Caenorhabditis elegans: one gene and its partner. The protein of the gene in region 1 interacts with the protein of each later gene in a pairwise test. Each region holds a gene or a part of one and is shown on either strand. Other genes may lie near its edges.

The links.
Region 2: the proteins of C06E1.1 (region 1) and wdfy-2 interact in binary tests that used the Caenorhabditis elegans proteins (3 or more experiments, as listed by UniProt).

Annotation. Positions count from the first base shown.
Region 1 is NC_003281.10:8,604,034-8,607,169, reverse strand, and holds C06E1.1 (HVA22/TB2/DP1 family protein), read right to left. Parts: upstream 1,339-3,136; 5' UTR 1,327-1,338; coding exon 1,201-1,326; intron 1,157-1,200; coding exon 1,046-1,156; intron 993-1,045; coding exon 744-992; 3' UTR 572-743; downstream 1-571. Other genes in the region: C06E1.9 (ASCC2 family CUE domain-containing protein), read left to right, coding at 1-249, 325-571.
Region 2 is NC_003280.10:9,318,018-9,322,586, reverse strand, and holds wdfy-2 (WD repeat and FYVE domain-containing protein 2), read right to left. Parts: upstream 2,723-4,569; 5' UTR 2,710-2,722; coding exon 2,646-2,709; intron 2,575-2,645; coding exon 2,373-2,574; intron 2,318-2,372; coding exon 1,971-2,317; intron 1,800-1,970; coding exon 1,682-1,799; intron 1,562-1,681; coding exon 1,202-1,561; intron 1,156-1,201; coding exon 999-1,155; 3' UTR 709-998; downstream 1-708. Other genes in the region: Ras-related protein rab-39, read left to right, coding at 1-162, 213-326, 376-519; csa-1 (WD_REPEATS_REGION domain-containing protein), read left to right, coding at 3,115-3,158, 3,439-3,585, 3,630-3,716, 3,761-3,994, 4,223-4,414, 4,470-4,569. UniProt on the Caenorhabditis elegans protein: Plays a role in coelomocyte endocytosis.

The DNA of each region.
Region 1 (3,136 bases):
AGATGCTGCTGGACCCTCATCGCCTTCTGAAAAAATTGCTGTTGATGCTGAGAATCTTGTTCCTCTTGCGACTTCGAAAAAGTATTCGGCATTGAACTCCTTAAAAATCAGTGAAGCAGATAAAGTGGCAATTCGGCCAACATATAATAAGTATCGTTACGAGACCCCGAATGATGGAGGAAATGGAGTTTATGATGATGAATACGATGATGAGTTTGATGGAAGAGAATTCAATATTGAAAGATTAAAGTTAGTTTTTGGTCAGATTTAAATTCATATTGCACTGCAACTTTTAAATTAAAATCATGAGAATATTAATTTCAGCCAAGAACTAGAAACATCGTCAGAAGAGGATGAAGCTGGATCTTCTGCACCACCTGGTTTATCTCAACCACCTCCATATCAAGGATCCCGTGGTGGACGTGGAGGTCGTGGAGCCCGAGGTGGCAATCGTGGTGGAGCCCCATCTGCAGATGGATATACTGGAGGACATGATCGTCAAATGAAAGAGAAACACAAGTCGGATATCAAGCAACGTGGAGCTGATAGAAAGAAACGAGGAGTTTATTGAGAATTCGATTTACAAACCAATGATTTCTTTACACTTGTGATAGCAATACAATTCGGTGTAAATTTGGCTGGGTGATAAATAAATTATATCAGTTTAAAAAAAAACATGTTCAAAAAAAAATCCCGTGCGTGTCAAAGTGTCAGTTCCGTAAATTTCCATAAATTCAGAGAGCTCAGTTTTCCTCCTCTCCAGGCGGCGGTGGAGTCACCAGAACCCATGTTTCGGTGAATTTCAGAGCTGGCTCAGACCATTCCTTGAGTTTATCGAAGCCATTTGTGGTGATCGAGAGGAAGAGCCCGGTTTTAGCGAAGTAATAGAATGGGACTCCAGGAAGAGCAGAATAGTCAAAAAGTGAAACCATTGCATAGAGAATCCAATAGAGGAGAATGTTGTCTGATGGATTCTTCTGTTGGCGGAGGATCTGTAAGAGTGTTCAGTTGATTTCTAATGAAAATGAAGATAGTTGAAATTTACCATGAAGCTCTCTTTGACTGGCCAGAAGATGCAAATGATATGAGAGAAGAGTGGGAGGAAGTTGCCGAGAAGAACGTAGATGGAAAGCATCAGGAATGCCATTGAGACGATCTGAAAACAAATATTGTTTTTAATTAAGACATTATATAACCTACTCTTTCTCTTGGAATTCCAGAAAACTTTTCAGCTTGAGTGAAAGTCTTTTCTTTCCAGTCTTCCTTGTTTCTTGCTTTCAAATACTCGTTGATTTTTGACTCGATTTTTGCAATAATTGTCGCCATTTTTGAATATCTGGAAATTATGTAATGTGGGAAGTCGCGCTCTACCGAACTATTCAACATTTTCGAAGATTACATAATAAGAAAAGACTGATCAAATATCAAGAAGGAAGTTAAAAAGAGAGGAAACGATGAAATGTGAAAATATTAAAGTCACATAAAGCGAGGCGAAAAACAAAACGAACGATAAAATAATAAAAAGGGATGGAAAAGTGAGGAACAAAAGACGGCAAAGATGAGAATCAATTGCAAATCGTGGCTTTTTATAAAATTATGCATGCAATAATGATTAGTCGGTGAGAAATTGCGAAACTATTTAAAAACCGATTACTTTTTTTCTTCAAAAAAGTCATGGTCAGTTTTCGTTATTTTGATGGAAAGTTTGCTGGGTGGTAGGACAGCAAAGACTCTCGTTTTCTATTTGTTTTAGATATCGTATGAGTCATACAATTAGTTTTCGATAAGTTGAGATTTTATCATAAAGCCGATAAGCTTTAATGGAAACTTTCAAAAATTAAACTTATTTTCCAAATGTAAATGTATAAATGTTTCCAGAAATATATCGGTTCTAGCTCGCAAAGACGAACAACAAAACAAAGAAATGAGCATATTTCTGCCATTTGCAACATACAAGAGAGGAGCAGATGGAACGTTTTCACCTGAGCACTGCACTCTCTTAATCTACAGTACTATCTCACTCAATTATATAGAGCAAATGATGCACAGACGGATTATAGAGGGACCGTATCGATTGGTATCGATACGAACGAAGAGAGAGACCGCTTGTCTACGTCACTGCCTACCAAATAGCTCCGGCATAGGTCTGTCTTTGTACCTACTTGGAATGCCTGAAAGATGTGCAAAAAAGAGAAGAACACTGGAATATTCCAGTTCTGACAAAACATTATATTAAAAAGAAGACATGTTTTTCAAAATATGTTACTCAAAAAAGTTTCATAAAAACTATGTAGTGAACTGAAATAAACGCTTCCAGAGTTTGTTTGTTGCATTCTTGTCGATGCACCATGTTTCTCTCAACTTTGACAACTGATATATTGACCATCTTTATTAAAAAAAAAAAGTTTTCTCAAAAATTGTCAACTATCAAACTATTTCAAACGATTTATGCTTTTTTCTATGAAATAGCAGTTTGAAATTTACTGAAATTTTTAAATTGAACCGGCATTTCAGTTCTATGAAATAGCAGTTTGAAATTTACTGAAATTTTTAAATTGAACCGGCATTTCAGTTGCCAAATTTATACCATTCTTTCTTGTCTATGCACCATGCTTGCACAAAACTCAAACAGCTGATATCTCGGTTGGAATTGCCTTCTCCATTAGAAATTTAACACCAAGGAAGATGGTGTCTGAATTTTTTAAATAGTTGGTTAGATTGGTGAACAGCGAAAAATTACAATATCTATAGCGAACAGAATCATTTGATAAACATACTGCAATTACAGGGGCACAAATCACAGGGGGACAATATGAATCCTGGAAATAACTCGAAAATTCGATTCTTCAATCTACAGTAATCTTTTGTAGAATTTTGAATCAAATTTCACATGTTAATTATCTACAAAGCTAATATTTCAATAAAACTATCTATAACCCCAAAATCATTCCCTTTTGCATGATCACAATTATGTGACGTATCCAATTGTGTCATCCGTTTTTTGAGATTTGGAGTTTATAGTCAAATGAATTCAGATCAAATCCCGTTTATTTGCCCGTTTTTCAAATACAATATTCTGTCAAAATCCCGACGTATTACCTCCAAACCAACATCAATATACATACGTTTTCGCTAC
Region 2 (4,569 bases), on another chromosome or scaffold:
TCTGTTGGAGTCCTTGCAATCTACGACACAACGAATCGAGAAAGTTTTGAGCATGTTGAAAATTGGGTTAAAGAAGCAGCATTAAATTTGGGTGGTCCAAGCCCATCGAAGTGTGTCTTCCAATTAGTCGGAACAAAAAGTGATATGGATTCACAGCGACAGGTAATTTTTGAACAAAAGTTGTGTTTAAAAAATTGGTTAAAAGCTTTCAGGTAAACTATGAGGAAGGCGAGTACTTTGCCAAGTACCATAAAATGAAGTTTATCGAGACGTCGTCGAGAACAGGAGACAATGTTAATGAAGCTTTTCATATGATTGCACAAGAGGTTTTTTTGAAAATGTTTCAATTTTATGATGTAATTTTCAAATTTTTAGATTCAAAATCGAGTCGACGACGGAGAACTGCGGCCCGTGGATGGCTGGGAAGGCCTTAAAACTGGTATTATGAGGTCACAATCCGTGTGCCTATCCGAAAGAAGTTTCCCTCAAAACAGCAGCGCAGGAGCTTGCGGATGTTGATAATTTCTCCTCAATTTTTTAATTTTCCCCGTAGTCATAATTTCGCGTAGCGTTCTTATAAACATCAAAAACTCAGCTATTTTGTGTACTTCCTGTGAGCTTTCTCCTTCATCCAGTGTCACCAACCTCACCTACTCTCCCGGCATGCATTCTTTTGAAATAATTTCTAGTCGTTCTGTCCAAAAACTTCAAAAAAAAAGATTTTTTTTCAAACTTTGTTGTAAAAATACAATTTTACAGTCGAAAAACTAGGAAATTATCGGGATTAGAAGAAAAGTAAGAATCACAATCACTATTCAGGACAACCTGTCAGGGGTATCGGGAAATATTGGTAAGTTTTAGAAGGTCTTGATTTGACAACAATTGGTCTTGGGGAAGGATGGGCATTTTGAGAGTGAATATACAAAATAGAAAGGAGAGGAAATAAATTAGATGAAATACAAAGAATTATGAGAAATTCGAGAAGTAGAAGCAATTGTTTATTGTGATCCAGAAGGGGCAGAGCAAACACTTCGAACATCCCAAATCATAATCACACGATTCTGTCCACTGGTAACTAGAAGTCCGAGAGTTTCCTGGAGATGCATAGCAGTGATTCCAGTATGGATTTCATGTGGAATTGCAAGTGGAGTAAGGCTAAAATTGAAAATAAGTTTCATCAGTCATTTGCTTTACAACTTACTTGAAATTCTGTGGATTATCTTTCATTCGTGCATTGCAGTCATTACAAATGCGAATTTTCGTCTCATATCCCATTGGTGGATAGGTGGTCCAGTTGTCACAGCAAGATCCACAGACTGCTGATCCACAGGTTCTGCAGTGATGTTGTCTCAATCCGACCACTTTCCTCTGCCACATTGCTTGAAGATTCCAGAAGAACGGTTGATTGCATTTCTGACAGCAATCCGAAGTTTTCCATTCAGGAGTCTCAACTCTCTTGCAATTCATGTCCCAGCACATGAGCTTTCCGTGTTCGTCAGCCGAGAACAGACGTTTGGCTGCTGGAGCTGCGCATAGTGTTGTCACTTTTCCATTGTGTCCGCTGAAAAAAACATTTTTTAATTTGGAAAAATCTATTTCAACTAAATATAATTCAACTTTTGCGCTCGAAAAACATCAACACTTTCGAAATATCACGTAAATTCCAGAAATATACACTCACTTAAGCTCATAAGCTTCTCCTCTTCCTCCTCCGATATCCCACATTATGATGAGATGATCACTGCTTCCAGAATACAAAACTTTCTTATTTCCGTCCCATGTGAGCGAGGTGATTGCATCTGAAAAATCATTGAACTAATTCAAACCACAATTACTAATTGTATTGATTGTGGGGAATTTCAGGAAATACTGGAATGTTATACTTAACAAATATTTTTCCTAGGCACGATAGCATTTAAAATTTCGAATTAATATTTTACTCAAAAAAAAAGAATACGATAAAAACTCACTCGTATGTGCACTAAGCTTGCTGACAAGATTTGGTTGATTATCGACAATACGAAGAACAGTGACATGCCCACCATGATCTCCAACGAATACAAATGGAAGATCAATGACCATTGCTGTACAACTATTTTCCAAAAGATAACTTCCCATCTTATTTGAATTTTCTGAACAATGCCAGACGATAGATTTATCTCGAGAACAGCTGAAAATGAGCTCGGAGGAGAGTGCAAAGCCGAGTCCAGAGATTGGTCCAGCGTGACATGTCCATTTTCGGGATTCTGTCATACTGTTAAAGTCATCGGCAACACTGAATTCATAGACATTTCCATTGATAAGTCCGACGAGCAGCCTGAATAAAAAAATTAAAAATTTAAAAAATAAAACGATTTAAACTTTAAACTAACTTATAAGTTTCTTCACTGTAATAAAGACTTGTTGGAGCAACTGGCATGAAATGATGAATTGACGGCCAAAATTGATCATTATCTCTTTTTAAGTACAGGCGAACGGATCTATCATCACTTGCAGTCCAGACTCCTTCGTCTTTTGATAGTAAAATGACGTCATTGATACGAGCCACGTGGCCAGTGATTCTGTGAAGAAGAGCTGAAAATTAAAATAAATTCGAAAATTACACAGGTTATGGAAATCAAATGGTTCGTTTTCAATTCACCAACCTGGTTTGGCTCCTCCCATACTTGATTCGCCCTGTTCGACGCGTTGATTGATTATTGCAGCCATAATGGCTGAAAATCTGAAAGAAAATCAAATTGAATGCCAATAAATGACACATAAAGTTTAGAGGACGGAATGCAGATGTTTAAAGCAAAAATCGATAAAACCACGTGTTCTCGCCCGTTTGTTTACACTTCTGCACCTTTTTTACTTTTGTTACTATTTCTGAACTAAATATTTCCTTGTGGAAATTGAAATTTTTATCAAACTAATTTTGCAACCGGTCTGGAAACAGATGAATCAGTGCCCGGTAAATAACGGAAAACCGGTGCGGCCGAGAATGAACTTGTTTGGTGGACTCTAGGCCATTGGCTGTTTTAAGGAGGATATTCAAATTAACAGCAACGTTTGAGCTTTTTATTTAATCGTAATATATTTATTCGCATGTTTCTATAATTTCTCAACAGGAAAATGACTGTTCGTCACGAGGAGTACATGTTCAGCTGTGATTTGAAGTGAGTTTTGCGGTTTTTATGTGAATTTCGTAATAATTTTGAAAAAAAAGTGCAAATGCATAATTAAAATTTAAAACAAACGAGAAAAATAGAGAAATTTAATGTTAAAATGCGCAAATAAAGAAAATAAATGACAGTACCGCAATTTTTTCAAGGCGCAAGAGTCAGAAAACCAGACGGGTCCCGCAACGACTTTAAACTTTTATGAATTTACAGGCCTAGATTTTCTTACTGTACTAATTTTTTTTAAAATTTGAGTTATATTTGAAATTTTTTGCAGAAAACGCCGAGTTTTCGAAGAACAACAAGTTTCACGGGCTCTTTTGAATTTTCGATGGACAAAACATATTCCTATGGGTTGTGATCAGACGGGGAAAGGCCATCAAGAAGATATTAGTGCGATTGATATAGATGATGGTGACCAAATGTTGGTTTAATTAGGAGTTTGTTTAAAAAAAATTGATTTTTCAGGCTACTATTTGGATCTCATAGTGGTTCAGTGTCAGTTGCCAAATATAAATACTTGGATCGTAAAAAGTGGAAGAAACCTATGACTCTGTATGTAACAACCGCAATAATTCTAAAATTTATCAAGATTTCAGAAAACTTGCGAAGCAATCTCTGAAAACAATAAAATGGTGTCCAATCGATCTTCGCCTTTTCATGGTTACAACAGCATCAAATTGGATGCGAGTTTGTGATAGTACCATGGAAAAAGTGGTTCATGGGAAACAATTTGAAGGAGATGTTTATTTTGATTGGAATGAGTATAATATGACAAATTCAAAAGTTGCCGTGGCAGATGGAGGGAGATCAATGAAAATTATAGATTTTAGGTAAGCTTTAAAAGTTCCACGAAATGCCTGCCTACGTGCCTGAAGGCTAGTGGATCTTGTATTGAACAAGAGCTATATTTTGTTATGACTGCCTAACTTTCTAAAACTTTGGTCTTACAATTTCCCCTGGTCGAACCTCTTGTCTTAAATTTTTATGAATTATTTCAAAATTTAAAATTTAATTAAAATTAATTAACATTTTATATTTCAAAATAAATATCATTTCAGAGTCGGAATGGATCTACCTCAATCGATATATTGGAATGATGAACCAATTGATGTTGTACAGTGGTATCCATCAAAACATCATTACTTATATGCAGGACGACGAGATGGAACAATTGGACTATTTGATATTCGGAGCACACGTGGAGCAATTGCTGAGAAATCTCTTCACAAATCACAAATTTATGGACTAAAGTACTTTATTTTCAAAACTTTAAATTGAAGGTATTCTAAATCTCATAAATTCCAGAATATCTGCCGATGGACATCGTCTCATCTCTGCCGATAGATCGGGGTACATTCATGTGGCAGATACGTGGGATTTCAGCACAAAATTTGATTTTTCCTGT